3 linked regions of the Danio rerio genome follow. The main gene of each other region encodes a partner of the protein of the gene in region 3 in a complex. Links are inferred from orthologs where the notes say so. Each region holds a gene or a part of one and is shown on either strand. Other genes may lie near its edges.

Evidence for each region.
Region 1: the proteins of mtor (region 3) and deptor are in contact, whole or in part, in a cryo-EM structure (PDB 7PEC), measured with the Homo sapiens proteins. The link is inferred for Danio rerio from reciprocal best matches to the Homo sapiens genes MTOR and DEPTOR. Residues at the interface, in NP_001373429.1 of Homo sapiens: Met304, Gly305, Phe306, His1494, Cys1498, Trp1501, Gln1525, Asp1527, Ser1528, Glu1530, Glu1531, Cys1534, Met1535, Ile1536, Arg1538, Arg1547, Gln1554, Leu1556, Leu1559, Gln1562, Cys1563, Lys1566, Arg1683, Leu1685, Asp1686, His1687, Lys1710, Ile1711, Phe1714, Gln1715; in NP_073620.2 of Homo sapiens: Arg54, His56, Leu57, Lys58, Thr59, Tyr60, Pro61, Val101, Arg116, Lys119, Asp121, Gly122, Thr123, Phe124, Lys131, Ala132, Arg135, Arg138, Lys142, Glu177, Gly178, Glu179, Glu185, Cys304, Asn305, Lys307, Gly335, Asp336, Ala337, Val338.
Region 2: the proteins of mtor (region 3) and mlst8 are in contact, whole or in part, in a crystal structure (PDB 4JSV), measured with the Homo sapiens proteins. The link is inferred for Danio rerio from reciprocal best matches to the Homo sapiens genes MTOR and MLST8. Residues at the interface, in NP_001373429.1 of Homo sapiens: Leu2269, Arg2270, Met2271, Ala2272, Pro2273, Asp2274, His2277, Leu2278, Thr2279, Leu2280, Met2281, Gln2282, Val2284, Glu2285, Val2286, Glu2288, His2289, Asn2292, Asn2293, Glu2536; in NP_001186102.1 of Homo sapiens: Tyr20, His22, Asp42, Ser43, Gln44, Val45, Asn46, Tyr62, Asn87, Glu105, Gln148, Thr174, Arg221, Tyr222, Leu224, Ser268, Arg270, Gly271, Trp272, Trp274, Ser290, Lys313, Val316.

What each region holds. Positions count from the first base shown.
Region 1 is NC_133191.1:14,924,784-14,935,925, reverse strand, and holds the start of deptor (DEP domain-containing mTOR-interacting protein), read right to left. Parts: upstream 5,215-11,142; 5' UTR 4,847-5,214; intron 4,629-4,846; 5' UTR 4,587-4,628; coding exon 4,471-4,586; intron 1-4,470. UniProt on the Homo sapiens protein: Negative regulator of the mTORC1 and mTORC2 complexes: inhibits the protein kinase activity of MTOR, thereby inactivating both complexes. DEPTOR inhibits mTORC1 and mTORC2 to induce autophagy.
Region 2 is NC_133187.1:20,161,138-20,172,432, reverse strand, and holds the start of mlst8 (target of rapamycin complex subunit lst8), read right to left. Parts: upstream 5,264-11,295; 5' UTR 5,155-5,263; intron 4,904-5,154; 5' UTR 4,871-4,903; coding exon 4,742-4,870; intron 3,926-4,741; coding exon 3,874-3,925; intron 3,691-3,873; coding exon 3,528-3,690; intron 3,446-3,527; coding exon 3,370-3,445; intron 3,291-3,369; coding exon 3,138-3,290; intron 1,691-3,137; coding exon 1,566-1,690; intron 1-1,565. Other genes in the region: meiob (meiosis-specific with OB domain-containing protein), read right to left, coding at 5,574-5,681, 5,772-5,858, 7,364-7,550, 7,920-8,064, 10,697-10,795, 10,876-10,971.
Region 3 is NC_133183.1:56,016,833-56,027,332, forward strand, and holds part of mtor (serine/threonine-protein kinase mTOR), read right to left. Parts: coding exon 10,382-10,500; intron 8,590-10,381; coding exon 8,461-8,589; intron 4,875-8,460; coding exon 4,630-4,874; intron 2,322-4,629; coding exon 2,106-2,321; intron 318-2,105; coding exon 112-317; intron 1-111. UniProt on the Homo sapiens protein: Serine/threonine protein kinase which is a central regulator of cellular metabolism, growth and survival in response to hormones, growth factors, nutrients, energy and stress signals.

The sequences.
Region 1 (11,142 bases), on a different chromosome or scaffold from region 3:
ACATAGCTACTTTAACTGCCATAATTTTAACCAAACAGCAACCAACACCAGCAGTCAACAGAACCACAACATAACTGGATCACATCGAAACACTGCCCTCGCCTCAGCCACACACAGCACTAAATATTGCGTAAATTACACTATCTATTAGAGTATGTTTTACTTTCGAAATGGGTAATTAATTCATCCTATTTGGCGTTTGAAAGTCTTTTGAACAAAATTAGGTGCTGCTTGTCAGTTAGACGATGCTTCTATGTTTGTTCTTGCTGTCAATTGTGGAAAAAATGATCGATAAAAGTGTCATGATAAACTGCTGTAAGAGTCAGATTTGTCCGGGGAGTCAGATTTAAATACAACTTTCCTTCACCTACTCTTGCAAGTGAGCCAATGCAGTTTGCGCTATATACTGGTTGCTATTATCTAAATGGAGTAGGAGCACACAGTTATGCTTTGTTGAATAAGTTGCATATAAAAGTTACGTTTCAAAACCGCCCAAATTTTGTCAACCCACCATGCATTTTTTTACCCGCACAATCAACTTCAAAACCACCCAATCTGGCAACACTGTTTATATAATATATACTTTAGAATTATACATTTTTTTTATTGTTTACCTTTTTTTGAGTGACAAACACAATTTAACTGCACAATTAGCATTAATGTAAAAAAAATGTATGCATGTAACATTAAAATTTAATAACAAGTTTAAAAAAATGTATTTTAAGGATTAAAACATTCAAAACAGGAGTATAAAACCATTGTCTGGAAAATGTGTACAAACTGTCTATACTAAACAAGATATTTGGAAGCTGTTTACACTGGATGGGGCTATAAGCATTTGAAATGTATTTGTTCTCTGTGTCAGTGGTGCTTCGAGCACGTTAGAAATAGAAAGGGGCATCAATTGTAGTTAACAATTTACATAGTTTAGAAAGAGTCGCGCTGCTTGCGTTTGGTGTAGACATGTTATTAGCACTTGTGGGCAACTTGCAAATGACAGTAGTTTTGTCAATGTCATCTTTACAGTCGTTGTCTTAGATCATGAAATATTTTATCAGACTGTACTTCACTATTAAATTTAGCAACGGTGATCTTTTGCCACGATCAACAGATATTAATTTTTTTTCTGTTTTTATTATTTTAAGCTGGATAACTCAAAAGATGGGGCATCTTTAGGAAGAGAGGTGAAGTGCAAAAAATAATGACATCCTTTGAAGTTGAGCCTAAGGATTAAAAATTAACTTTGGTTTTCTCAAATAACTGTTGTTTTGTTAAATTGAAGGCTGATTCAAATCAAAGAATCAGTATTTTTTACCCATTTTGTAATGAAGTAATATGTTTTGAAGTTGCTAGACAGTCTATAAGACAGCTGTGTCTGGTACTGTTTCAGCAATCATTAATCAGATGTATTGACTAAACACTTATGCTCCTTTCACTATCACTGTCACAGTCCGTTGACATAGGAGCAGCTGTCTGAGAACGGATAGAGCCACAAACATATTACAGAAGATTTCTGCATAAATCTTAAATGAAAAAACTTACATCCAATATATAATATACTTCAAAAAAAATTATACATATATATATATATATATATATATATATATATATATATATATATATATATATATATATATATATATGTATATATATATATATATATATATATATATATATATGTATAATTAAAAAAAAAAAATATATATATATATATAAATATATATTTTTATATATATATAAAACGTTTTTTATTTATGTAAAACTTTATCTAATGTTTTTAGTCAGTTAGACTGAAGTTGAGATGACTAAAAAGTGAAGTTCTTGTTAAAATTGTTTTATGTCTAAATTTACAGTACTTAAAAAACAGCAAACAAAAAGTACCTGGATGACCCTATATGGCAAGATTCTGCAGTGCACAACAGCAGAAGCTTTGTGAATGATTCAGGTCAGGTTTCAGGTAAAAACTCATAGAAATTATTGTTTAACAATTAAAGACAAACTTGTTGTGAGTTCTAAGGTTGTTATTCAACTGAATATATAATTTAACTTGCAGGATTTTTAAACCTATGACAATGAAAAATGAAAGATTAATGAAAATTTAGGAAAATAAAAAACAGCTAAAAAAAAAGTTGACAGACACTCACTCTATTGAGATCTCATGTGAGTGACCATGTGCCATACCTTCATGTCAGTGTCACATCATCAGAGAAGTCAAAGAGGGAACCTATATAGCAGACCTCATTTAAACAGCATTTGGTCTAGAAATTGTTACATGTATTTAAAAGGTCTGTTTTGTGAACTAATGGGGGGTTCACTCCGTTGTGGCAACCCTTTATGAAAGAAGGGAATAAGTCAATGAAAAGTGAAAAAGTGAGTTTTATAAACATTAAAAATGATTTAAACATATATTAAAAACTAAGGGCTCTATTTTGACAGTCCATGCGCAGAGTGCAAAACGCAGGGCGCAAACGCTTTCAGGGCGTGTCAGGACGCATTTTTGCTAATTAAGGGACGGGAAATCTGCCTTGCGCCAAGGCGCATGGTCTAAAAGGGTTGAGTTTATTTTCTTAATGAGTTATAGGTGTGTTTTGAGAATAAACCAATTAGAGTCTCATCTCCCATTCCCTTTAAGAGCCAGCTGCGTCGCGCCAAGAGCGCATTCGCTATTTACAGGACGCAAAGTAGCCTAAGTTTAAGTGGAAAAAAATTAGCATTTCACAAGCAAACAGTTAACAGTTTTTTTAACAGAAAACTGTTAAACAGAGCATCTACTGCGTGAGAATGAGAGATAACGGATCTACTTTCACATTCGCTCTTGGATAGGGAAACCTTTGCGCACAGACATCAATTAGTCTGTAAATAATAAAATTTTGTTTGTTAAGCGCAGATATTCATTTCAAAACTATTTCTAAATTCAGTTCTAATTTCCAGCAAACAAATAAATTAACAATATTAACGAAGTGTGCTCAAAAACCTGAGTTATATTCTAAAACACATGCTGTGCCCCATATGGTCTAAAACCTGACAGGTGGGCAAATCTAAGCTTGTTTTTAATAAAACAAATATACATATGGATATAATAAATAATACTGCTAATAATAATAACATTATACAAAAGCAAATTGTTATGAATGAACTGAAAAAGCCTCCCGAGATGAAGAAGACATAAAAGCAGTGTTTTTTCATATTTATGTAGGCTATAAAATAATATGTTTTGTAATATTTTAATCCTTTATATTTATATCCTATATCTATTCGTATTATATGCTATATATATCCTTAATATTAAAATTTTTTCATATGTTAAGATATTTGCCTATTGCTCTCTTGTGCGTATTAAGCAGTGCGTAAGCGAGGCGCAACTCTGCGCTGGAGTTTGGACCGGGTTTGTTTTGGTAGTGAAAAATCTATTATAGTTTCTCAAAATAACAACCAGAACGCCTATGGGCGCACATATGAGTGCTAATGCATTTGCTATTTAAACAGCGTAGCGCAGCGCCTTAAAAACGACTCTTGCGCCAAGCTGAAACTAGCAAAAGACTATTGCGCCACATTGCGCCAGGTGTATAATAGGGCCCAAAGTCTCTGAGTGCAGTGTTTGTGTGGGGTCAGGGATGGGAAGTTATTGTAATTAAAAAAACTGGATGCACATTATTGAAAAATAAAAATGAGCAATTGTGAATATTTTACAAGAAATACTGCAAAATTATAGAAAAAAACAACAACTGCAAATAGTTAATTTAAAGTGACTTTCCAATACAATCTAAAAGTTGTATCAGCTAATGACTTATAAGTAAGCCCACACGGAATCTGCGCGCGCAGAATTCCACAGAATTCTGCAGATTTTTAGCCCATCATTAATTCTGTTTATTTACTTGAGTAAATGTTGGAAATCTATATTTTTCCATTTTTATTTACAGTAACATTATTAACTAATATGAAAAGGTTCATCTGATTTAAGTACAATGCAGTTTGTACAGTAATATTTTCTGTCTTTTAGTAGATATATTTTATGAGAGACTTTGTTAACCAAATAAAGTGAATCTAATCGGATTTGCATTTTAAACATGAAATAAAAGTTAAAAAATATATTTTTTTTTTTCATTTCACATATTAAGGTTATAGTTATGATGCTACCAAAATAATTCAGCAGAAATCCGCAGAGTTTTACCCAAATTCTCAGCAGAAATAGCAAAAAACGTCCGCAGATTCCGTCTGGCCCTACTAATAGGTGAGAACTACACGTGAATGATACCATAAAGCAGATTGTACACATTTTAATTCGCACTAGCATATGTGCACACTATTACTGTCCATTTAATATTTAAGAGGTCACATTGCAAGAGTTAAAGAGCTCTAATGACAGCGACGCGACAAACCTTCGACGTCGCGCGCAGTTCATGCATAAACGCTAGGTTTTTCGTTCTGACTAGTCGCTACGGTGTAATTGGGGTGTAAAGCCACACCTACCGTAACTGTTCTCCGGTAACGAGGACTTCGGCCATGCGCTCCAGCTCAGCAGCCTTCTTCTGCATGGTGTTCCCGATGCCGTCCATCTCTGACAGCCGCGCTGAATACCAAATCATGCACTCTGATGTGATTATTCAACGCCTGAATGAAAAAAAACACTGTTTGAGAATTAGTTGACATGCACAGCGTGCTTGAGCTTGTATTCATTTTAGAACACGCCTCATGACATATTTTGTAAGGCGTGATTATTGTTATGACAGCCTTAAAATTTGAGCTGGACGGACTGGTCAGATGAATGAAAAGATATTATGTCATCCGAATCATCCCATAAGTTAAAGGACATCGAAACAAACAAGCAAGCGACGAGAATATTTACCTTGGTTCCGATGCAGAAACCTCAGTCTTATGCTTCGCAGAACAATACCAGCGGTGTCAATAAAAGAACATCACTGTAATCTTGATCACAGCGCAAAACGACTCGGAATAACTTGTTTTTTTGTGTGCCATCAAGTGCCCTCAGTTCAGCCAACAGTAGCCTATATCCCGTCGTGTGCAAAATGAACCCCAAAATCGTGCAATAAATCACGTCGAGGATTCAAACTAAAGATTATTCCTGAACAAAGACCCCAGATGATGTATTTTCTTCATGGCATTGTGGATTGTTTACTATTCTTCACTGAAAGCACGTTACTGTCCATGTAGGGCGAGTCAACTTGACCATCCTCAACAGGGGGAGTTTACCATGAGAGGCGGAGCTTGAGCACATCACTCAATCACTTTAAATGCCCAGGCAAAAGAAATGAAAGGATTCATATACTTATTAAATATATATATATTGTGTTTTATGTTTTTGCAAACGAGCAAAAGATAAAGGATAAGTAGTAAAATATTTTATAATATATTATATGTAGTTGTTGTATACTGTTGAAACGTTTAATTCAGGTTTATTAAACTTATTATAAATTTATTATGTCTGGAATAATGTTTATGTTAAAAACGAATAAACAGAACGGTCACAACAGACTTATGCAATTAATTTAACAATAAATAGCAAAAAAAAAGACTTCAAAACATGCATTTGTATTAGCATTTTGTGTGTTTTTCTCATCTGAATCTTTTAATTAAAAATCCAAATTAATAACTATTTTTATTTTAAAAAAACAACAACCTTACATGTTTAAAATCATAAAGAATGTGACTGGAACCATTTTAATATAGCTACTGAATGTTCATTTTGTGAACAGTAAACTTGTAAATTTCCACTATTAATAACATTTAACAACTAATTATTTATTCATTTTATTATTTTATCTATATTTTATTTGTCTTTTTTATTCATAATTTTCTACAACGCACATTTTTGCCAGCATCAAAACAATAATATTACGTAACAGTGACACACGTGGTGAAATGTGTTATGCAGCGCCATCTAGTGGACACGTGACGTTTACACAATATTACGCGCCAGCCTGAATTGGTTCACGCTCATTGGTTCAAACTACTGTCGATCAACGGCATCATCTTCCGGCTCAAATATTGCGGGAAAGTTGATCGCTGACAACAGCAGACGTGTTTGTGTTCAGTCGGTCTGGATAAAAGTAATTCTGACAGCATGAGGACTTTAGAAGAGGTTCAGGGAACGCTACAAATCGCCAAAGTTAAAGAAGAAGACCTGCAGCCCGTCACTTACTGTCTATCTTTCGGAGATAATGTGTCGTCGGGCGATTACTGTCTCATGGAGGTGGATGAGAATCTCTGCAAGCACATTGAATCAGGAAAGAGGTAGCAAAATGATTGTTACATTGCTTCGTTTTGAAAGATGAATGCTCAGCTTTAGTATAATTTGAGATGATCGTCTCAACAATTAACGTTACATTTATGAACGTCGCTATAGAACTTACGTTTTGCATTGTCTTGTGAAAAAAATGCACATTAAAAAGGCTAACGTTAAATGAATTACTATGGAAATAAGATATTAAGATGGTATCATGATGCTAACTGAATGTAATATATTGTTAGAATGTTAGAATTATGGCCTTTAAATTATTTATTGTTATTGAAAAATGATGCAGTCATTTTTATTATTTAGTGAAATAAATACACTAAATTTTAGTTATTTTCTTTTATATTGTCTATTTTTATATACATGGTACTAAAGTATGTATAATGTGTATTGGTTGTTATACATTTATGAACTTAATATTAATATGATATACATATCCAAAACTTTATTCTAATACAGAATTGAAAAAAACAAACAAAAAAACAAGGCATAAATCATAAGTTGTTTTTAAATTTGAATGTGGTGACATTTCTGCATGACTTTTATAAAACATTTTTGACTGTGTAGAACACCAAGTATGTTTTATGATTTATGTGTTTGTTTATGTTTACATGGCAACTGCCAAAACACACAGAACACATTTTAATGTTTTTTAATAATTTTTATTATTGCTTTTTATTTTATTATACTTGACTTTTTTATTCTTGTTTATGTAAAGCATTTAGAATTGCCACAGTGTATGAAATGAACTATATAAATAAACTTGCCTTACATGTGCACATACACTGAGGGGCACTAGGGGCCCTATCATACACCCGGCGCAGTGTGGCGCAAGGCGCTGCGCAATAGTCTTTTGGTAGTTTCAGCTTGGCGCAAGAGTCCTTTTGAGGCGTTGCGCTACGCTGTTTAAATAGCAAATCAGGGCTCGAAATTAACTTTTTTACTTGGTAGCACCGGTGCTCCCAACTTCAAATATTTAGGAGCACCAAAAAAATTTTTAGGAGCACCAGAAAAAATTTAGGAGCAACCACCAAAAATGAATGAGCACCGCTGCAAATTGTTTTTTAAGGGATTTATTGTATTTTAAAACAACGTCAATAGGACTGACAAAAACCAGAAACAACTATCTAACTAATGCTGCGAAGACATTGATATTTGTGTGCAATAATTCCAAAATGAATGTCTAATAATTAGGCCATAGAATATTAATGATGATGAAAATAACAATAATAGTAACAATGAATTACATTTCTCATTATGATACTGCCTTGTAAAAATAAAGCATTGCAGTAAGAAATATTGATTTTGTACTGCTGTTTTTATATGCATGTCAATTTAATAAATAATATTTCTGCTACAAAACAAACAAAAGATTATATTAAATCATTCAATTCAATGATGAAAGCTGCAAAGTCATCAGTAAATAAATAAAAAAATAATATACACCTCAAAAAAGAATAGACAAAAGAAAGTAAATAAAATCTCACTTCTATCACTCTTTAAAAGTTTTGGTTTCAGTTTGTGTCAATTTAAAGGTTCTGTCTGAGATGATCTTCATTTTTCTGTGTTAATGGAAAAGCTGGCGAGTCAGCCGACCCAATTTATGAGCAGGCAGAGCAGGATTCTTGCGATGACAACCGGCGCAATACCGCTCTTTGTTATGAGCCGCAGTTTCAGTGTAAACTTGGTAAAGGCAAGCTTCTTTGGCGATGATATGTACAGTATTAGATTTGACTTTTAGCGGACATTTGCGCTGAACACGCAGTGAATGCAACGCATGGAGATTCGAGTGCCTTCTCCAAGAAGCGCGTACTCGATTGATCTCAGCTGGTGGATCATTATTCACCACGTGACGTGTCATGATTGCTTTCATCTGCGCCTCAACTTTAGGTGGGGTTTGCAAACCTGTGTGCTTTAAGTTTTTACTCTTCAGCCGTTTGCATTTCCCGTGGTCATCAAAACTCCTTCCCTGTCATCTGACAGCGGAATACCTTGAGGGATTGACAGCTAATAGAAACCAATATAGCGGCAGCAGGGAAGAGCGATTCAGCACGTTTTTACAAAAAAATCAAAACAGGTCTCACTCAACCATTATCTGCAGTCGCACTAATGCGCCCAAATATATTATGCGGTCGCATAGATTAATTTTCAGGCGCATATGCGACCAAAATGGTCGCAATTTCGAGCCCTGCAAATGAATTAGCGCTCATTTGTGCACCCATAGGAGTTCTGGTCTAAAAAAGAAGGCGTTCTGAGGTGGACCGCTGGCGCGTTGCTATTTTGAGAGACTATAATAGATGTTTCATTAGACCAAAACTAACCCGGTCTAAACTCCGGCGCAGAGTTGCGCCTCGCTTACGTACTGCTTATTACGCACAAGAGAGCAATAGGCAAATATCTTTACATATGAAAAAATTTAAATATTAAGGATATATATAGGATATAATAAGAATAGATTTAGGATATAAATATAAAGGATTAAAATATTACAAAGCTTATTATTTTCTAGCCTACATAAATATGAAAAAAAACTGCTTTTAATGTCTTCTTCATCTCGGGAGGCTTTTTCAGTTCATTCATAACAATTTGCTTGTGTATAATGTTATTATTATTAGCAGTATTATTTATTATATCCATATTTATATTTGTTTTATTAAAAACAAGCTTAGATTTGCCCACCTGTCAGGTTTTAGACCATATGGGGCACAGCATGTGTTTTAGGATATAACTCAGGTTTTTGAGCACATTTTGCTATTATTATTCATTTATTTGTTTGCTGGAAATTATAACTGAAATAGTTTTGAATCGAATATTTGCGCTTAACAAACAAAATTATTTATTTATAGACTAATTGATGTCTGTGCGTAAAGGTTTCCCTATCCAAAAGTGAAAGTGATCCATTATCTTTCATTCTCACGCAGTAGATGCTCTGTTTAACAGTTTTCTGTTAAAAAACTGTTCACTGTTAACTGTTTGCTTGTGAAATGCTAATTTTTTCCACTTAGACTTACTTTGCGTCCTGTAAATAGCGAATGCGCTCTTGGCGCGACGCAGCTGGCTCTTAAAGGGAATGGGAGATGAGACTCTAATCGGTTTATTCTCAAAACACACATATAACTCATTAAGAAAATAAACTCAACCCTTTTAGACCATGCGCCTTGGCGCAAGGCAGATTTCCCGTCCTTAAATTAGCAAAAACGCGCCCTGACACGCCCTGAAAGCGTTTGCGCCCTGCGTTTTGCACTCTGCGCATGGACCGTCAAAATAGAGCCCTAGATGTTGAAGACAAGTACACTACAGGAGCAGATTAAAGGTATCTTAATGCACCTCTTTTTCTTAAAGAGATAGCTCACCCCAATATGAAAACTTACTATTTACTCACCCTTGTGTGGTTATAAACCTTTAAGTTTCTTTCCTCTGCTGAACACAAAAGAAGATTTTTTTTAAAGCTGAAAACCTGTAACTACTAATGTCCATAATAGGTAAATGTAATGTAATGTATTTTTTATTTAGTGTCATGTCAGCAACCAAGGCTATCTTCATGGCAGGAATCTTTCAACAATAAATATAAAATTTAAAAATCAACAAACAAAATAAAACATAAATTAAATAAGTTTTTTGTGTTAATACATGATAAAAATTCTAAAATCTTTTCGGGTGTTATTTTGTCAAAAATGTCCTTAAAAGAGTTCATTTCATAAAAAGTCCTTCTGGAATCAGTAAAAGCAGGACAGTCCAGTAAAATATGTTTTACAGTAAGAGGAGTTTTGCAGCACAAACACTGAGTAGGGTTTTCACCTTGGAGCAAAAAACCATGTGTTATTCTCGTATGCCCAATACGACATCTGGTAAAAACTACTTGATCAAATCGATTCTTAAAATGTCTTAAAATTCTGTGTGAAACTTCAGGTTGGATTTCATGTAGTTTATTGTTTTCTAATGCATCCCATTCCTTTTGCCACTTGTTTAAAATGTAAGCGTTGATAAAAGTTTTCATCTCTGACGGAGGAATTTGGCATTTGTTCACTACTTGCTTCAAAGCATCTTTAGCAGCTGCATCAGCTCCATAATAGGTAAAAAAAAAAAAAAAATGCAATGGAAATGAATGGTTATCTAGTGTCTGAATGCAGCCTTTATGATGCAATCTGAGATTACATTTCTCAAAGATGCAATGTCAGACACAATGCACTCAGTGGAGCTAGTGACGTCACTGCGAGAGGTAGGGTTCGGGGTGGGGTTTGGTGAGCCCATTAAAAAGCATTGCATATAGCTCTGATTGCATCTGCACCAGGTCTGTATCCAGAGCCCTTACATGTTTGATTTAGATTAAGTCAAAGGAAAATACTTAATGACAGAATTATCATTTTTTTGGATGAACCATCTCTTTAAGGCTGAGATTTATTCATCTGTTATGTGTGTTTATTCTTTTCACTAGCCTTATTATCAGAGGTGATAAAGACGAGCATGCAGTTCTGTGCAGTGAGGACAAAACATACGACTTGAAAATCGCAGACACCTCAAATCTGCTGCTGTTTGTCCCAGGATGTAAAACTCCAGATCAGCTGTCTGACATCCCAGCATCTCCTCAGCTCATGCACACACAGGTGACTGAGGAAATGATGTATTTTTATCTTAAGCGATGATGTAAATGTTGTGTGAATTAACAAATAAGCTTTATTTTGCAGATTTGGGGATTTTCAAACTGTTACTGGGAGCTGAGAAGGCAGAGACCGAGGTTAAAGAAGCTGAAGAAACTTCTGATGGAGAATCCATATGATGGTCCGCCAGTCGGCATGCAGGAGGAGGCACCGGGACTGAAAGTATGATACATAGACATGATGGTAGTCGTTAGCTTGTATTAGGGATGTGTAATAGTCACAGAAAAATAT
Region 2 (11,295 bases), on a different chromosome or scaffold from region 3:
ACTTCAATAATTCCACTAATATATGCATACTCCACATGTCTTAAATCCATTTCTGTTTAGTTCAATTATGATTTTAGTCAAATTAAGGTAATCAAAAAAAAAAAAAATTTGCTGTTTACATGGTAGACTCTTAATTAGAGTATTGTCTTCATCATAATTAAGTATTAGTGTCCATGTAAACGTACTCAATGTTTGACTCAACCCCAATGTCAGGGCTGTGAAATTGGACAAACTTGGGAGGGGCATGTTCTAAATGGTTGAAAATCCCTGGTCTAGACAATATTGGATTTAACAGTAATTCAACTGTCAGTTATTACATATAGTTTCATATGTACTGATTATTTAACATGAAGGATGTAGGCCAGGGCTATTTAATGAGTTTGTAATGGGGGCCAGTTCATGAAATGCATCCAAAATGAGGGGCCGGAGAGACATGACTTGCAATATAAGTGATGACACAACTGCAATATAAGAGCCCACATGCTGTAATTTGCTCCTTGAGACACCCACGTTGGCTTTTTTTTTTTTTTTTTACACCAAAACGTTAAAATGTTGTATTTTAAAACTACATAATATCACGGGATTGTACAATGTGTATTCAAATGTTGTATTTCAAAGCACAACAAAATCAATTAGAAATGCAATGATTTTGGTTGTACGATATAGTCTGAAGAATAATCATGGTTTCACAATTATTACCATTATTGTGCATTTATTACATTCAAAACACCACTAGTTTAGAAAATCACAAGAAAACTGCCTATATTTTAAAATGTTGTTTGCTGCTCAGTAATCAAATACAGCACAAAATATTGTTAATAATAAACTAACATTTGTCCATTTCTCTCTTTGAACTTAAAAATAAATGAATTTGAAATAAATGAAAATGAATGAAAATGATTTAAACATGAGTCATAATTTTACAATAAAAATAAATGACAGAACTATGAATAAATATAAAAAAATAAGAATAAATAAATAAAAATATTTGTCTAATGTTAATTTTTAGCTATATATTAGCTAAGAATTTAAATGAACTGTTGTTATTATCTGCAGTCATACATACATAATCATTTGAACAATTTGTAATCATTCGTCTAACATAAGAGTGCGAGTGCGTCGGTCCGCTCTACAAGCCATGTGCACACCACTCCTAATAAGCGCACGTCTCCATTGGAAAATGAACTTGCGTGTGGAAAATATGCAATATGTGAACGGCCATCCAATGTTTGTGCGTATTAGCCTCAGTATAAGCTCGGATCTTTAAACTAGCACACAATTGGCATAACTTTGTCTACATCAGGGCCATTTAAAAGTGTGTAACGGTGAACTCACAGACAGAATTGTTTTTCCTTGTATTGTGTGTTTGCCAAATAGTTTACTATTAGCTAAACATGCAATACAATTTCCTTCTAATGAGAGAGGTCAAAACAACACCGAAAATTAATGATGGTGTTTTTTGATGTACAACAGTAAAATTGGAGAACAGTATGAAATAAATGAAGGCATTTCTGTTCCTTTTTTACAGTTCTCTTATTGTCCTTCTAGTATTGCAAGACACTTACGTGGAGTCTGGGCTGAATTTGCAGCGTAATGAGTAGCGTTTGTGAGCTGGGATCTTTGTCTTGGGTATGAGTTGCGTCACTTCATCCCCCATTCCTCCAGCCAAATTCCACACATAACAGTTGCCCTACAGAAAGAAAAATTAACCAAATATGAAGAATGTTTACAACATTCAAATTGATCATGGAAGCTCACGGATAGAGGCTTTACACCAAAAAAAAAAAAAAATGAGGGTAATATTTTGTGTCACATGGCATGCCTGAACATCTGCAAGAACCAAATAGGTTTGTTCTTGTGTGACAAACAGGGGTCCATTCTTCTCTGTGTTCTTGTGTTTGCTGTAAGGACAGATCTCTTGATCCTTGAAATCATGATTAGCAATGCAGTAAAATACTTGCTGATTGACTGGCTAATGCCTTCATCTGAATAATCGTCATTTATGAGCCATTTCAGCAAAACTACAAAATTCATAGTGAATTTAACGGTTTGTTCAATATAATATGCAAGAACTTCCCACGTTTGTTGCAGGCTGTTTGTGCAGGCTTCACACTTTCAAGTGTCAAAGATTTAGCTATTTATTTGGTTTTACTTTTGGAGGTCATTTTCTTTAAAAGTATTCAAGTTTCTACATAAGGCACATATTAGCTCTCAACATCTACATGATTCTATAAACTATACAATTATTATTTATATATGTATATATTATCTGCCATATCTTTTATCATACACTCTCAGAATTTGTACAAAACTGGGACAGAACCATTTCAAAGTATGCGTTTGTATCTTAAAGGTCCTTGTTGGTATCTTAAAAATATATAGTGTATTACTACTTAAAAAGTATATTCCAATCACAAAGTACAAAAATGTTTTATTTGAACCTTTAGAAAGATATCAGCAGATTTTGTACTTTAATTATGGAGTGTAGATTACATAAGAGTGTGAAATGATTCTTTTCTTTTAATTCAGATTATTTGGGCGCATGCTGAAAGTATCAGTAGTTGGTACATACTATCAGTATCACCTTCACCTGACTCAATCTAATCCTGTTTACATGAAGTAAGCCTGCTCTCAAGCATGTTTGAGCTACCAGACCTGTAATTATATAAAAAAAAAAGTTCCTGGATGACTTTTGAAGAACAACACTCACTGGGATTATGTCAAATCATCCATAATCAAATCCAGTTCACATAAGAAGCACAGACATCTGGTGAGGTTGAGCTTCTGTTTATATTTTCTGATCAATGTTTGCATGTATAAGAAAGCCTAAATTCAATCTTTTCATCATATAAATCAACTGTGTGTTTTCAAAAGTCTTAAACCACTTGATTTATATGGATTTGTTTTACATCTCTTTAATATTTTAAAGTTTAACAGACTTTAGGTAGAAGGAGAGAAATCCTTAAGATTTTATTTAAATACACATTAATTTGTTTTTCTAAAATGAACACATGTATTGTAAGTTTTGAAAACCATGCGAGTAAATGACGATTTTCACTTTTGAGGTGAATTCCCCCTTAATACCTCCACATGAACACAGCTTCATTAGCAGAGTGCCATATTGACGGTTTACTGACCGAGCTGTTGACTGCAGCCATATAACTGGCATCAGGATCGATATGGACTGAATTGACGGAGACGTCTGGCTCTGGGATGAGTTGTTCATTGTGGTCAGTTTTCAAATCCCAGATATGGATAACACCACTTTGGTCCCCAACGATTAGTTCGGCCTAAAACAGGAACATTTAAAGAAAATGTGATTCGTTTGCTTATGAGAATTTAAAAAAGTAATGAAATGTTTTAACTGACCTGATTGGGATGAAGACACACGCAATTAATGGGTGCATTGACTTGAAATATTCTTTGGCACTGAAGGTTTCGGGACCTGAATGGAAACAGTACTTGAGAAAAACATCTACTGCATGAACTATTTAATCTATTTTCGTTAAGCAAACAGGACTCAGTACCTCAGGTCCCAGATGCGAGCCATGCAGTCTTCTCCACCCGTGTACATCCACCGACCATCCTCATGAAAGCCCACAGACGTGATGTTCTTGCTGACTCCATCGTAATTGATCACAGGGTTTGGATTGTTTGAATTTAAGTCATACATGCGAATGTGTTGATAACCTGAAATTAAATAAGGTATAGGAATAAAAAATAAAAGGTTTAATGATTACGAAATAGATGTAGTCCTATAGCACCTTTTAAAAGTAACAGTCAAAAAGTGTTTTATAATAAAACTGGAGGATAAACAATACAAATATTCATATGAAAATCGTTGATTTTAAGTAATGATTGTGCAGAACTTACCAGCAGCAGCAATCATGCTCCTATCAGGTGTTACTTCAAGAGAATTGACTTGCTGGTGTTTTCAGTTAAGCATCTTTTTTTTTTGCACTTTAATAAACTTACACATTTCTTCCAGACAAAATGTGTCCAAGGAGACACTTTAGCATGTACAGTCCAAATAAAAGTCTTTAAAGCAATAGCATAGTGTGCATACTGTACTTCATCTCCACTGAGCTATTTTACATACATTGCCATCTAGACTTATTATAGTACACATGAGCAATTCCAGCGTTAAGGATGTGATATTTGCAGTAAAAACTCAAAACATAAAAAGTTAAGATTATATTGAAACATATAACATATTTTCCAAAACAACTAACCATGGGAGTTATGGGATCAGAACAATATCAATCTGTAAACACTATTTAGATTTTAAATGGGAAAAATAAACGTGTTATGGATGTGAACAAAAAAGTTAGCGAGTTTACAGTATACAACACATTTTGAAGAAATTCTGAGAAAGAGAACCCACACACAACTCAAAAGAAATAAATCAAAAGGATAAGAGTTGACTCACAATGGAAACAAAAATCATTGATTTTATTTTATTTGTTTTTACATTTTTGCATTCATGAGGAAAAACGCTTCCCTATGGATGTGATATCTCTCCATTATCGGCTTGACAGATGTGAAATTGTCACTAGTATGACTGGTAAATCAAATATTACTATTTGAAAATACTGACAGACATTTGAGTATTTTTACAGTACTGTAAAATACAATCCTACGCAAAAACAAAGCACTTAAAAGTTTTTTTTTTTTTAAAGAGGTAACAATAAAGAAGACTTTAAGCTTGGTAATGACTGGGCATCTGTTGGGTGAAGGATACAGAGTCCTGGTGCTGGACAGTTCTCGTACAGATCCCGCTGTGGGCCTGCCAGAATCTGACGGTGTGGTCATAACCAGCGGTGGCGAGAATCACCGGGTCACTTCCGACGGTGCCTTGATTCACATTCATAATCAGCTCTGCTCAGTCCTGACCTAAAGTTATCTACGCGAAAGAATGCCTAGTTTTAAGCTCTGCTTGTTCAAAATTTTATAAATGTACCTCAATACCTTTTAACATAGATGTTTCTACAGCTTGTTTATTTATATTTTTGCAGCACGATTAAACTGTGGTTGCACAGAAATAAATGACGTTAAACACTTGTTATAGTTATACATTAATTTTCAGCGTGAAAAAATTGTCTAAAATAAACATGGAGACACATGATTTTAAAAATAACGTACAGTAAATCTTACCTGAGCGAGACGAAAGCGCTAAACCTCAGTTAGGTATATGTAAATCTATAATCTTAAAAGCGAAAACGACATTATTTACATGTATGTCAAACCAAGCGGTGCTTCTTCCAAAACCGTCCCCCAGAAACAATTCTTAAATCAAGAGTTCCGAAGTTCAGAAAAATGTTCTTTTTTAATATTTATTTAATTGGTTACATCAGTTTAACTGTACCAAAATAAATATAAATAAATTAAGTTAATTAATTTAAATATACAACAAAAACAGTGTAAGGTAAAGGAGGACAATGGAACCAAATGTGAAAACTATTACTCAATAATCTGCATTTAAATTGAATGAATCAATCAATTCTGCACGTTTACAATCGATTTGCTCTCATATGAGGAACTGTTTTGTGTTGTTTGGTTGCTGATGCAAAACATCAAACCACAAATGAGGCAAGGTTTTGCTTCACTTCAACGGGGTCAGCGAGTCCGCATGACAAGATGTCTGCCTTCATTCCACTTCTCCTTCTGGGAGATGGAAGAACCTGCGATTAAAAAAATGGTGAATTACATCCTTACATGATCAACATTCCAAAAAAAAAAAAAAAAAAAAACTTATGACAAACATGTAAAACCTTCAGATATATTTTGCATCGCTCCAGAAGAAACTTCCACTGCAGGCTTGTCCGCTGATACTCCGACAGGCACAAAAACTCTTCTGTCTGTCAAGATGATATTACTTTACTGCACAATCCTAACAGTCTTTAAATATCTATTATGTATTATTAGAGACAGTTAGGCCATTGGTGACAAGGTGGCTCAGTGGTTAGCACACAACCAGAAGGTCACTGGTTCGAGTTCTGGCTAAATCAGATGATATTTCTGAGTGGAGTTTGCATGTTCTCCCCTTGTTGGCATGTGTGTCCAAACATATGCGCTATACAGTAGGTGAACTCAATAAACTAAATTGGACAGTGTATGTGTGTAAATGAGTGTGCATGGATGTTTCCCAGTATAGGGTTGCAGCTAAAAGGGCATCCGCTGTGTAACACATGTGCTGGATAAGTTGGTGGTTCATTCTGCTGTGGCGTTCCCTGGTGAGTAAAGGGACTAATGAATGAATAAATGAATGAATAAATGAAAGAGTTAGGTGGTTTAACCCTCAAAATGCATTCAGTTCTTTTTTTGTTTGTTCTTCAAGATATTCCTATCACCTAACATTTTCTAAAAATGTTTTTAGTAATGAAACTTTACAGAACTTTAAAACCACAAAAATAAGCAATTTATTTTTGTAAGGCCTATGTAATTTAACAATGACTTTACAGTTAAAAGATGTATTTTTTAATTGTAAGTTTTATATTTGGACCATTTTGGACCTGGGTATGAATGGAGAAAGAGTATGCGCCAAAAGTATTTGTAAAACTATCTATCTTAATCTGAAACTTCATGCAAATAAAATTTGTTTATTTGTTTGAAAACTTTTTAGAGTAATGTTGTTTTGTGGTAAATCAATAAGTACGTTTAATCTGACAGTTTTTTTTTTTAAATCATTAATTTATTCATTTTCTTTTGGCTTAGTCTCTTTATTAATCAGGGTCGCCACAGCGGAATGAACTGCTAACATATCCAGCATTTGTTTTACGCAGCGGATGCTTAAAACAAATATATACTCTCACATTCACACACATACACTACGGACAGTTTAGTTTATTCAATTCACCTATAGCGCATGTCTTCGGACTGTGGGGGAAACCAGAGCACCTGGAGAAAACCCACACCAACATGGGGAGAACATGCAAGCTCTACACACAAATGCCAACTGGCTTAGCCGGGTCTTGAACTAGCGAGAATCTATATTCTTATATTTCTTATGTAAAACTTTTTTCTTTTATTTACTATAAATTTCCTACAATGACATAATCAAATAGGATTTGGTGTAGTTTTTGTGCAATTAGAAATTTTCAAAGATCGATATATTTTATATTTTGATTAACAATTAAAAAAGCATTAAAGAGTAATAAGATAAAATCAGTAACACTCAATTCTACATCCACTCATTAATGAGATGAGATATGGAGCAAATAGGCTGAAAAATATTTTTTAAAACATAATCTTTAACACCAATTAGACCCAGAATGCAAGTTTAGTATACAGATTTTGAATGTATTATGACATTTGAATGCTTTGTTTCTTCACCAGCATTAATATAAGCATTAGATTTGCTCACTTTACAGCCCAGAGTTTTCTCAGCCACTGTGCCCACCAGGTTGCATGACTGCAAAGTGCCAGTGTGGTCACTGATGTCCACCAGCACATCAAAGCATTCATTAGCCTGGAGCTCTTGTCCTTGATTTGGACAAATGTCACTGGAACACGTCCAACTCTCCTCATTGATTCGAAATTTGCATCTGGCACTAGTGGAGAAATTATACATTAAAAGCAAAATAAGCTAGGGCTGTGCAATATAAGAATATATAAATATTGTATGGATAATAAAAATATATTATTACATTTAATTTGTAATGTGGCACGGTCACTACATACATACTAATAATTAATTGAATTTATATTAAAACACATATACTGTATATTGTGATATACAGTAGTCAGCATTTGAAGTGGATCAATAAAGTTTGTAAAAGTTCATTCAATTTACAAAGAATTGTCTGAAATGTTTTATATGCATTTTAAATGTCGACTACTATATTTATCAGGATATATGATGACTAATATTGTGACATGAGAATTTGTATCTCACAAAACTGTAAGCGTTGCAATCTCACCATCTCTTGGTTATTATTTTGGAGGGAGAGGAACCCAGATCAAAACAGGTGATGAATCCATATATGATGCAATGAATGGCATCTGCATTTTCTTGACTTCTGGTTTTAAGTTGGCTTACTGTCATGACGTCTCTAATGGAATCCACTGAGGGGAAAGAAATTTAAGGATAAAATGCTGCAGATACATTTTGCATTCATTTGTTTTTTATAATGCAGTTTTCATGGTAAAAGTTTGTTTGATGGTAATGTAATTTACTACTTTAAACCCATTAGCCAAAAACTGAAATACTAATTAAATCATTGTTAAAAGACAGAGTAAACAACCTCGTATTGAGTTTTTTTTTTCCTTTTGCTCTTGTGGTGACACTTTTGACATTTTACAACATAATTTTCAGTCCTTTTCAGATCAAAATAGTGAGGGCAAACATCACTTCCAGTATGCTATTTTTACAGGATCAATTTTACTTTGAATAACTAGTTTTGCTATGTTGTAGAATTAAAAAAAACTGACTATGTAGGACACCCTTTTGTAAATAATAGTAAATCAGTGGCACTTTACAATAAGGTTGTAGTTGTTAATGTTAGTTAATGCATTTTCTAACATGAACAAACAATGAACAATACATTTATTACAGTATTTGTTCATTTTATTTAATGAAAATACATGTTTTCTTCGTTAGTTTGTTAACTCACAGTGCATTAACTAATGTTAACGAGGCTAAATTAGGATTTTAAAAAGGCATTAGTAAATGTTGAACAATGATTAATGTATGCTGCACAAGTATGGTTCATTAATAGTTCATATAAACTAATGAAACCTTATTTTATAGTGTGACCAATAAATTGAATATTACTAAAGTAAAGTATATTTCCTTATTTTAAATATTTCAATATTTTAATTACAGTATGGTGGAAAAATACATTGACTAATTTAGACAAGAAGAAATCGTGATTCTCAGCTATGTAACAAACTTTTTTGCACTACATATTGTTATAAACTATAACATCTCGTTATTAAGATAACTGAAAATATAACCATTTGACAAAAACTGAAACAAACAAAAGCATTTAGGTACCAAATATACCAGTGATTATAGAATTGCCTGTTTATTTATCTAAATTCATATTAATTTCAAATTACAACTGATTAGTTGTTGATTAGTAATTATAATTTAATTATATTAGTTATTTTCAAATGGACCTCTGCTATCACGAATAGCTACATATATAATAACTTTAAAGTTAACATTAACTTTGATTTTTTTTAATTAAAAAAATATAAAATTCAGCTGTTTCTTTTTCACTTTAAGCAACTTTTCAGTTTTATTGATAAAACCTGCAAAAACAGTCAATGTTACAGTCCTTGTTAAAGCAGGGCTGTCAAACTTATTTTCACTGAGGGCTACTTCAGCATTATGGCTGCCTTCAAAAGGCCGGTTATATCTGTAAGACTGTTTAACCGTTATTACTCCTTAACAGTGTTAAATGTGTGCCTTTTACATCATTCATGCAACCTAGTTTGCATTGACTGTGAATGTAATAATATCATATGCTCTCACAGGCCACAAACATTTTATAAACACACCGAAGTTTCCCACGGCCCTTGAATTTGAAGGGTAAAAGAGTTAATACTCTAACAAATGAATAGTTGATTGTAAGTCAACATTGTTAACATTGTTTGTTAACAAACTGTATGGCGAAACATTGACAGAACTGCAGTACAGATCTGTCAAGATAACTTTTTAAAGGTGCAGTAGGTGATTGTCTTCAGAAACATTTTTTGTTGTTCTGGTTAAAAGTCTCTTCACAGTCCAATAGTAATGATTACAGTAAATGATCTAAATGTATTTATATGTATTTTTATATTCTGGGTAAGGCATAAAACTAAACAATGTTCATCCAATTAAATATTGTCGGGCCAACACCTCCCATAATTTCGATAAGTAGCTCAAACTGTATGTCAGCGAATGTAGATTCAGACTTCTGCACATCTGTTCACGCAGATCCGCCATTCGCGCGTGCCCACCTGCATGAGCGCCGCACGTTCATGAGACAATCACAGACGCATTGAAATCAAATGCTGAATTGAAACTTTTGAAAATACTGAATCAATATTGGAGTTACTTTTGCACGCTGGAGGAAGTACGACAACATGGCTGAAGTATTTCTGTTAGACAGGCAATGTTCTATTAGATTGTATGTTAGATTGTGTTGCGTTATGAATGGCTTATATGCACAGACGTGTTGTTCAGCCACTAAAATCTCCCGGCGAAAGATTGATGTGACTATTTTCAGTTTCATAAGGGACCTTCGACAGCATCGAAAATGTAGATTTTTATTTAGTTCAACACCAAAACATCAGCAAACAGCACTATTCTGTCTAACCTGCTTTATTGGGCTGAAGTTGCTTTTATATTCACATTGGTTCATTTATGATCAATGACAGCCTCCCTATACTGTTTACCATGCTACTCTAAATATTCGCTCTGAAATAGCATGTAAGTGTGGCTTAGTAATATATGAAATTCCTGCAAGCGGTTATCGTTTTGGCAGATCACCTACTGCACTTTTAAGCCACAAATATTTACATAATCTACCAAAAGCAAAAAAACAAACAAAAAAAAAACAATAGAAACACAGTTTTAAGCACCTGTGATCCATATACAACCCCTGCTGCAGCATTTCAATAACTAAAATGCTTTATATGAAAAATGTGAGACATCACATGAAAACTAAGACTGCAATTTTAATGTAAAGTGTGAACAATAATAACTTACACAGCACATCATCACCAGAGAGGAAGTCCTGGTCATCCAGTCCTCCAGATTGTAACAGTTCCCTGACAAATGTGTACAGCTGGTTTGCCTCTGCTGTATCTATAAGTAATCAACAAAAAAATGAAAGATTTTAATGTTAAAGTATTAAATATCTTTACTTTAGCATATCACATCTTTACCAGGGTTGACGGTAATGATTGTTTTGGAGATCGCTGTTGCCACCATACTTTTGCGAAAACTGTCAAAGGTGATACGAGCATCTGCAATGAACAGCACTGGGAGAAAATAAATACAATCAATGTATTAATATGTATCACAGAGTGCTATTGAAAAAATGATAATAACTTACAATAAGGTTCCATTAGTTAATATTAATTTACTAACATGAACTAAGAATGAACAATACCTCTACAGTATAATTTAAGTATTAGTTCACCTTAAAATAGTTCTGTTTCCTTCCAATCACATGAGACCTTCGTTTATCTTCAGAACAGAAATTATATTCCATGTGACTTCAGTGGTTTGACTGTAACCATACTTAACTCCAAAACTCTTTTTTTGTGTACAATTAATGTCAAAATGACTTTGTTTACCAATAT
Region 3 (10,500 bases):
ATTTTATTCTGGCACTATGCTATTTAACAGATCCTCTTAATATATAATATATAAGAGTATGTATATCATGATAGGATGTACATTTAAAAAAATGCTAACAAACATGAGTACCTGAATGAGCATCTTGCGCAGGAAGGGCATGACAAAGGCAGGGTTCATACTGCTGAGTCGACCGATGGTGCAGATGGCCAGTTCGCGGATCTCAAACACTTCATCATTCAGCGCCACAAACAGAGCCTGGAGGTTCTCTGCTTGTGCCAGGTGGGCATCAAAGCGTTCGTCCAGGGAGGCCAGCACACAGTATCGAATATCAGGGTCTGTCATGAGGCCAAAGAAACAGTGCATGTATGAGATAAACTCTCATAGAACGTGATATTCAACCATTTCTCTTTAACAAGATGAAAACCTGGCTGATGAATGGATGGTTCACGTTAAACTGAAAGTTCTGTCATCATTTATTTATCGTGGAGGATGTTCCAAACCTGTTTGACATTCTTCCTTCTGTTAAACAAAAAAATTTAAACCTGTAACCATTGACTTCCATTTGTTTTTCCTACTATAGATGTGAATGGTTACCAATCTGTATTCAATCAGTCTAGGTCGGTACCCTCAGCAGTAAGTACATGGAGCACTTTTAAACAAATGTTATTTTAAGGAAAAAAAACTAAACCATTACGATAAATAATTATGATAAAATTACCTTTTTAAATAAAAAATAAGTTTTATGATGGATTGTTGGTAATTGTATTGGTTTCGGCCAGATTGGGTCGCAATAAAAAAAAAATAAGACCTGTTTAAAAAGATTTAAAACCTACAACACAATATTTCAGTAAATTTAAGCCTTTTTAAGGTCTATAAAGACTTTTTAAGACCCCGCAGAAACCCTGGGGAGAGTGTGTGTGTGTGTGTGTGTGTGTGTGTCAAACATTTTGGTGAATTACATTTGTTTGGGTCAGTTATAAATTTGAAAAGCCCTACAGCAAGAAGGTGGCTGGTTTGAGTCCCAGCTGGGTCAGCTGGCATTTCTGTGTGGAGTTTGCATGTTTTCCCTGTGTTCGCATGGTAAAGTAAAATGGGTTAAAACTATAATTATCTTTAAGCTGTCCAAATGTTTTTATACTCATCAAGCTGCTGACCGGAAGTTCGGAACATCCTCCTTACACATATATGCAAAGCAGAATGGGTAATTTTGCATTCAAAGAAAAAAGTCTAAAAGAGAAAGTTAGTCACAGAGCTTAATAGCTATTTAATAAAGTTTAAAGTTTATTAGTTCAAACTTTTCAGACGTTTTTAAAATAAAAAAAAACTTTTTTTTCACTGTGTGTTTGCCTATTATACTTGCAATCATTCAGAAAAATGTCAAACAAATTTATGTTTATTGGCCAATATATCAGATTTTAGCCTGAGTTATCAGTATCGGTCAAAAATTTCACATTTCATTCATTCATTTTCCTTCAGCTTAGTCCCGTATTTATCAGGGGTTACCACAGCGGAATGTACCGCCAACTATTCCAGCACATCTTATACGCAGCGGATGCCCTTCCAGCCACAACCCAGTAATGGAAAACACCCATACACTCTCACATTCACACACTACGGACAATTGAGTTGATCCAATTCACCTATAGCGCAAGTCTTTGGACTGTGGGGGAAACCAAAGCACACGAAGCAAACCCACACTAACACGGGGAGAATATGCAACGTCCACACAAAAATGTCAACTGGCCTGGCCAGGACTCGAACCGGAGACCTTCTTGCTGTGAGGCGACAGTGCTACCCACTGAGCCACCGTTCCACAAATATATTGCCACAAATCAATTTCAAAATTTCAATATTTTTAAAACATGTCAAAAATCAAAAAGATTTCATAAAAACATTACTTAAATTTTACAATTCACACATCTAAATATTACTGTTTAAAACTTGCTGGATAAGTTGGCGGTTCATTCCGCTGTGGCGACCACGGATTAATAAAGGGACTAAGCTGACAAGAAAATGAATGAATGAATGAATGGTAAATTTACTAATAGATTTATTTACAGATTTATTAATGTTCTCTCTTCACCGTCCCTATAATCACGCATTCAAACAATTGTGTCTCTCACCTGGGTCAGTGATGCCAACCACAAGTAGCTTGCTGAGAACGTCAGCCACCACCTGCACAGCGGTCTGACTGACCACGTGTCCATGTCCGCTGAGCAGGTGGATGGAGGGGGTAAGCAGACGTGAGCAGGTGCGCGCCGCCTCCATGCGGATCTCCTTGTGCTCGCTGTTCAGAAAGTGGTCCGCACAGTGACGCACAAACTGGGTCAAGGAGTGGCCTAAAAATCAACCAAACATCATCACACTTATTTAAAGGTGCTGTATATACATTTTTGATTCATCTAAAGCATAAAAATACCATAATATGTTTGCATATTTTTTAAAAGAACATGCTAACATTTCTTTTTTTTTTTGGCCTTTTTGCCTTTATTAGATAGAACAGTATTTAGACAGGAAGCAAAGTGGGAGAGAAAGGGGGGTAGGGTAGGGAAATGTCCTCAAGCCGGGATTCGATCTCGGAACGCCCTGACGTGCTACTGCACCGTATGTCGACGCGCAAACCACTAGGCTATTGCGCCGACAAGAGCATGCTAATGTTTATCTAAAAAAAAGCCAGTTAAAGTCAGTTATTCTCCTTGAAAAATGTGCTTTCCATATAAGAATGCCTGTCATTGTTACCCAATTAAATTTTCGCACTCTGGCTTGCATTGGTGGAAAAAATCTCATTTCCTTTCAGTTGCCTCAATGTATGCATTACATATTAAAACTCTTTAACATTGTTCAAAGTACATGCTGAATGACTGATATTATGTTGGTTTGCATTGAGTCACAGTTTTAACTTTTAATCTTTAATCTTTAAACTATATGCCTGCTAGTTTCAAGATCTGAGGTAAACACACTGATGTTTTCAGTGTGCCAATAAATGTCAAGTATAAAGATATTTAAATTCGCATTTGTAGCATTTAACACTAAAGAAAGCAAATGATCAGTATCTGATGTAATCATATAATGCAATACCAAGCTTAACCACTAGTCTAACTCGTACACACCGCACATTTAAATAATTTGTTCACCTAAAAAAAAAGTTCTGTTATTAAAGGCGCATTAGCTGATTGTCTTCAGAAGCATTTTTGATGTGCTGATTGAAAGTCTCTTCACAGTCTAATAGTAATGATTAAAGTAAATGATCTAAATGTGTTTATATGTATTTTTTTTATTCTGGGTAAGGCATAAAAATAAAAAATGTTCATCCAATTAAATAAAGTCGGACCGACATCTCTCATAATTCCGATAAGTAACTCAAACTGTCAGTCAACAAATGCAGATTTGGGCTTTTGCGCATCTCTGGCCACGCAAATCCGCCATTAAGGTTGATTTATACTTCTGCGTCAAACGCCGGCGTATGCTACGGCGCTGACGCATAGCCCTTTGCCGTGGCCTTCGGCGTCGCTGACGTGCACCTCTAAAAAAAATTTAACTACACGTCACAACGACGCGTAGCGCAAGCTCTGTGATTGGTCGTCTTGGTAGCGCTGACGAGTCTGGGCGGGACCGAGAGCCGCGTAAATGGTGCGAGCCAGATGGAGCGATTGTTTACAACTGTGGAGTCTCGTGAAGGAGCTCTGGATGGAAAATTTGGTTTGTGTGTACCTCTTAGTTAAAGTTGTTGCACGTCCGCCGGTTCCTGCCACAAAATGAGCAAGTTTGAGCCACTTGTACATCCCAGAAGTGTTCAGGAAAAGCAAAACACCAGTGAAGAAACTCGACACAGAGGAACATAAACGCCTCACTGCCAACTAGCGTTTCGGAAGTGTTAATGCAGACCAACAGAGACGTGCAGAAGTATAAATGCACAGCTACGCGTGTTGCATGCGCCATGGGTAACGCCGGTCACTTGACGCAGAAGTATAAACCAGGCTTTGAGGAACCACGAAGTTCCCGCTAAACGAGTACTGACCACTGTTTTGAAGCAGACTACAGTACAGTTGGCCGTCCCTCCATCTGTGCACACAGAGACTAACTTTAATCTACCTCTAAGCTTCAAATATGGCAAAGTTTGAGTCTATGTTCTGTGTCTCGTGCCATTTGAATCACATCCAAAATAATTAGCTTAAATCTGAGGTGCACGCCTAGATGAGCGACACATGCACGCGAGACTGTCAGTTGCAGCAAATTCAAATGCTGAATTCCAACTTTTTAAACTCCTGAATCAGTATTGGAGTTACTTTTGCACGCTGGAGGAAGGACGACACCACACCATGGCTGAAGTATTTCTGTTAGAGAGGTAATGTTCTGTTTTAAAACTATATCAGTCACACAGAGCTGATGTAGAGTGTATTGTGTTATGATTGGGTTCTATGCAAAGACGTGTTGTTTAGCCACTGAAATATTCCCGGTGGACGATTCACTGGTGTGAAAGCACCCTAAAATATCTTTAAAATATCTTAATTTCTGTTCTGAACATAAACAAAGATCTGGAACAAAACGACAGAATTCAAATTTTTGGGTGAACTGGTCCTTTAATTCATAAACAAACTGATAAGAAAATGCTATTTATTTTAAAGGTCATCACCTAAGTCATCTTACCTTCAAATTCAAAGCTGCCGAGAGTTCTCAGTGCCAGAGTTATGCTGCCCACGTCGCTAGCCTCAGGGATATTGGTCAGGCTGGGCGATGATAGCTGATACGCCAGGCCCTTGGGCATACCCGGGTGACGAAGAGGCTTGTGCATGAGCACAAGTGAAAGCATCTTTAGCAGACCATCCTGAATGTCCTTCTTCAGCTGTGGGATCTGCCTGCTCAGGTCGTAAAGCACTGCAGTCAAAGCAGGGCTGAAGAGAAGAGAGTTGGCAAGAGAAATAATGTTTAAAGGGGTTGTTCAATGCTATGTCATGCATACAGGATTATTTATAGTGTTGAAGAGACTCTTGTGTGTAATAAAATTTATTTGGACAAAACACTTTTCGGGATTGTTTTTTTTCCCAAAATCTTACTTCTGGGTGGTTACAAATTTCACAATGTTTTTTTTTATTTGATTCTTACGGAGACCCGGAAGGGACGTGATGGTGGGGGGGAAAAAAATAGGTGCAAGAAAAAAAATTGGTGGAAGAAAAAAATACCTGGGTGGGAGGAAAAATCGTTATCTTGCAAAACTGTTTCTCCTAAAACACTTTCTGTTTACTTCATTCATGTAAACCCTCCCGTTTTTGCTGAAATTCTCCCGTATTTTACCATTCTGTCCTTCTACCATCCCATCATTGAGTATTTTCCCATATTTCTGATATATTTTTATTCTTGAAAGCACGTTGAAATTAATATTAAAATGTCTGCATCACTTTCATTACATTAAAGCTGTGTGTTGATCATCACCTTTCATATGCAACCTCTGAACCAGTGAATGCATGTATAAGCGCTGACTGACAGACGCGCTCTGTACAATAAACTGATTCAAGATCAGCTTCTGTACACCCTATTTACAGAGGAGCAGAAGTGCAGGACACTTTCGGATTAGGGTGTATGCTTAAACAGACAAATACACTGAATAATACGTAAACATGTCCATCCTGCATGTTTTATTTTAACAGCTACTTTCCTCTTAATTGAGCACAAACAGTTAAAGTATGCTTTCATTATATATCAGTGCGTTCGTAAAGTGACACCTCATCAAACAAAACAAAATGAGAAAATTATTTGCTGCTCTTCACTTGTTTGATGACAGAGGTGTCACTTTAAATAGCGTTTACAGAAGCTGATCTGGGATCAGTTTATCAGTGCATATGAGGGGCGCTGATCGACGCACAGCTCAAATGGAAAGATAGTGAATGCAGACATTTTAATATTGTTTTCAACATGCTTTCAAGATTAAAATATGAGAAAAATATGGGAAAACACCTGATAATAGAATATAATGGTAAAATACGGAACAATTCCAGCAAAAACAGGAGGGTTGTCATGTATGAAGTGAAATGTTTGTCATACAACAGTTTTGCGAGGGAACGCAAGACATGTTTGCGTTCTCTCACAAAACATATTTGCGAGATAACGCAAAACATATTTGTGAGGGAACGCAAAAACTTTCAAAAATATGTTTACCTATCACTTGTTTTTTTTTTTCCCCCACCCATTTTTTTCTTCCACCATTACGACCCTTCCGGGTCTCCGTAGATAATAGCTTTAATGTAACTAAGGCACTGTTTACACTATAACGTTTTCGTTTTAAAATACGTTTTGCTTTCAGTTGATTGGAGAATGAAAAAGACCCGACTGACGTAGCGCGCCTTTTCTGCTCAGACTTGACTTTTGTTTCAACTGCAACCATACAGAGCGCAATAACAAAACCGCGAGGTGCGCAGAGCGAATAAACAGCACGCAAAACACTCACAGCTGTTAGTAAATCATTTTAAAAAAAGTGCCGTTCAACGCAATATCGTTTTCGGTGTGATCGGATACTTTGACTCATCAGAAAACATCAAATAGTGCCATTCAAACTAGAGGTGTGAACCTATACTGGGGGCTGTTCCAGAAAGCAGGTTATGTGACATACCAGGGTAAGTTTGAGAGTAAGTAGGTGGATAACCTCAGCTTTGGTTCCAAAATCGGAGGTAACTTCTGGGTACTGTATGTTAAGTAGCCATAGCAACTTACTCTCTGAAGATAAATGTTCAGAGAGTAAATTGCTATGTTCCAGAGTGAGTAGTAAGTTGCTGTTCCATTTGTTTGTCTGTTTCAGAGAGCTTACTCAGCATTGCATGCTCTTTTGATGAGAATATTTGTGGATGTGGACACACAGATACAAGTTTTTTCATTTTGAGAGGGTTATAAGTGCATAGCTTTTTTTTTTCATAACATTTTTTCGGCGATCTACTGAAAATGCCTTTAGGTTTGTGCCGTGCACGCGCATTAACCTGCGGTTATCTTCAGGAGGTTGATTTAACTAACTCTTATCACCTGTTTTGGAACCAACATACTCGCGGTAAGCAGGTTTTGGGTAAAAAAGAAAAAGACAGCTGTGAAACATAACCAGCTTTGTCTTTTTGTAGGAAACACACTTTAGATCTTTTTAGGGTAAGAGGTTTTTGAGTTATTGCCGTCTATCACTGAATGTGTCAGGAATATCGAAAACAAAACCAACTTAACCGCACTCATTTCTGGCGCCCCCCTGGATTTACAGCGCCCTTGGCATTTGCCTATACTGCCTTTGCCACGTGCCGGCCCTGAGTTGGCTCCTGGAGTGTTGAAAATACCCGCACTCACCTTCCTTTGCGACAGAGCGCATATGAGGTAAATGACGTCAGTACATAATAACCGGTAATGATTATTACTGAACCCATACCGAATTGTCCGCGTCTGCATCGCGGTGCACAGAAGAAACAATTAATTTTGACACCCCTAATTCAAACCATATTGTGAAACTGTATTCATATTGCAATATTTTTCACAGGAAAAATCTAATTTTTCCAATATTGTGCAGCCGTATCACATTCCCTTTAAATCTTTTGGCATGTAAAAAGCCTCAAAGTTTGTGCACAATTCACTAAATTTATGTTGACATTTTTTTTTACTTGACTTGTCTGAATGAGTTGTGAATAGTGTTTAGTACTGAATTATTGCATTTTAAGCAATGACTGCCTTATCAGGGTTAAACACTAAGGATTTTTTCTACTGGGCCGATCGGGCCAGTGGTTCAGATTTTAACTTGCCCTGCCAAAATTTTCACTGGCCCCATCCAAAAAAAATAAATAAATAAATAAATTTAAAAAATGGAAGTTAATAGCTATTTTTAGCCGCATATTTTAAGTAATGTGTCAAAAATAAAATCTGTGATTCTACAATTTCAATACTTTGAAATTGTTCGAAAAGTGTCATGCAAACAAAAACAGCAAAGGAAAACGTGGTGGTATTTTATTGCGGTTCGAAATTATTTAACAATTGGTGGCTGACTTGTCAAACTGACGGCAAACTGTGCAAAACATGACTTTATTTTTTTTATTGTGTTGTTCACACATAAATGTCTGCTTGCAAGACATTAGAAACAGACATTTTCTTTTAGCCTTATAATTTGATGTTGCCGTTTCTTCGCTGTATTGGTTGTTACCAAGTTACGGAAAAAGATTGCATGCTCAAAACATCAAATCTGAGAAGAGGTACTGAAAAGCAATATGGTGTTTACGACATCACAAAGAAGGTAGTGTTTAAAGACTTAAAAGCACAAACTTAAAATGCATGCAATTGACAAATAGTCACAGACTAATTAAATGTTAGAGACAAGGCAGCACTGTCCCAATCGGGCCAGTAATGATCCTGTCTACTGTCCCAAGCGGCTATCACGCTGGCCCTGTGCCACCGGGCAGTCCTTATTGTGGAGCCCTGCATATATAACTGAGAATAAGAGACTAAATCCAAGCAGTTGTACAGTACCTGAGACCAACAGCTAGCATGGGCTCCAGAAGTTCTTTGACGTCCTGTTGGATGCTAGGCCCCATAGCTCTGGACAGCATACTTATGCAAGTAAATACAGTAGCATCCACCTGCATGGTCTTCTGCCTCCTAATAGGTTGTAACACAAACCACGAAGGGACAAAATGAGAAGTAAATCAGAGATTACATTCTTAAAAGAAGTGTAACGATACACATATTCCTACTGAACTATTTGGTACAAGGCTTTCTGTTTGGTACACATCAAAACCCGAATCATTTGCCATGGTTATTTGGAAGATAAATAGGTGTCAAATAAGTGTACAGTGAAGTGAAATATAATGTTTTCTTTGCCACTGTGTTCAACATGGCAATTTGCCTCTTCCACCCTCATAGAAAAACACACTACTCCAGTCGGGGATATGCAAAACAAGCTTGCTGCCACTGCAGGTAATATTATCACAACAAGCAGAGGAGCGCTATCCAAATCAATGTGGACGTGGAGTATAAAGTTCTTCTTTTAAAAAATATATTTTCACTGCATTTGTTTATGTTACGTCCCAGGACGTATTTGTTTCTGTTTTGTATTTTCTTTCTTCCTTTCTCTGCTACACCCTAATAGGTGATGATTAACGTCACCTGCTGCCACTAATGAACCATTCAGTGATTGGAGGACGAGTAAAGTCGTGGGCATTTAAGCAGCTTGTCTCCAATGGAACAGTGGCTGCGTCCGAAACCGCCTACTACTCAGTAGGTACTGTATTTGAATTTAAACGTACTACTCGGCCGTTAGAAAAGTACGTTCTATACAGTATGAATGTGAAAGTATGAATGGAATTCGGACGTACTACATCCGCCATTTTGTCATGGTCACGCGACCTACCTGCGTAATTTGCGTCGCTTCATTCCCATTCATGAATTCGCTCGCGGGGCATCATGGAATAGCGCAGCGTGCATGAGATGCGCACTCCAGAATTTCGCCGGAAGTAGTAAGTCATCCGGGTACTTTTCGCATACTGATTTTCGAATTCTATGTATTCGGACATACTACTCGGCTCGCATACTGATTTTGGCGTACTATATAGTATGGAAGTATGCGTTTTCGGACGCAGCCAGTGTGTTTTTGTGTGTGTGGAGGCTCTTTTGTGAGACTTTAAAAATTATTCTTTGTTTAATCCTTTAAGCATTATTTGTTGATTAGGAACTTTAATTTGTTTAAGTTCTGTTGATGCTGTTGACTATCTGATACAGCCTTTGTCTCAACCTCTTTTTGATTGTAAGTTAATTTATGTTTTCAATACTACTTTGTTAACCACTTTTTACTCTTTGTTAATCAGGAATTGGGTTAGTATAGAGGGGGTGCCATTTTCCTTTTTGTAACAGTTTTCTCCTGTTTATGTTAGTAAGGGAGTGAGAGTATTTTGATGTATTTTTCTTTTCTTTTCTTTTATAGATTATTTAGTTCTTCCCTCTCTCTCAGAGAATTTTTGTTTGTTGTTTTGGCTTGAACCCCCTCTTGAAGTTTTTTTGGAACCCTTCCTTAATCCTTCAATAAATATTTTGTTAATCTTCATTCAGGTTGCATATTTCTTTTGTTTGGTCCTTTATAAGGTTGCTCATAGGACCTTAATGCTAAAACACACACACAAAACCCGTGTCCCCTTAGACAGAGTTGAGGGGAACGTAACAGTTTATAACTACAATAAAATATATTTCTTTTTTTAAGGAGCTACATATGCCCCGATATGTATATAAATGCCCCCGTAAAATGTTATAACTCCATCATTGTTTAAAGTAAAGAAAAGATCAAGTAGAGAAAATTTCCCACTCAAGGTCAGCACTTTGAATTACTTCAGCTACTGTTTAGAAGTGAGCTACTGTATGTACTGACAGTCTTCCAATTTAGATGGTTCTTGGTTCTTACTTGTGCGCAAAGTCTTTCGGTGGCAATGCAGCTTTGATAATCTCCAGGATCTTGCTTAGGTATGGCTGAATATCAGCCCTCACAGCCACCACCAGTAGCCCCAGCGCTTGAAATGCTGC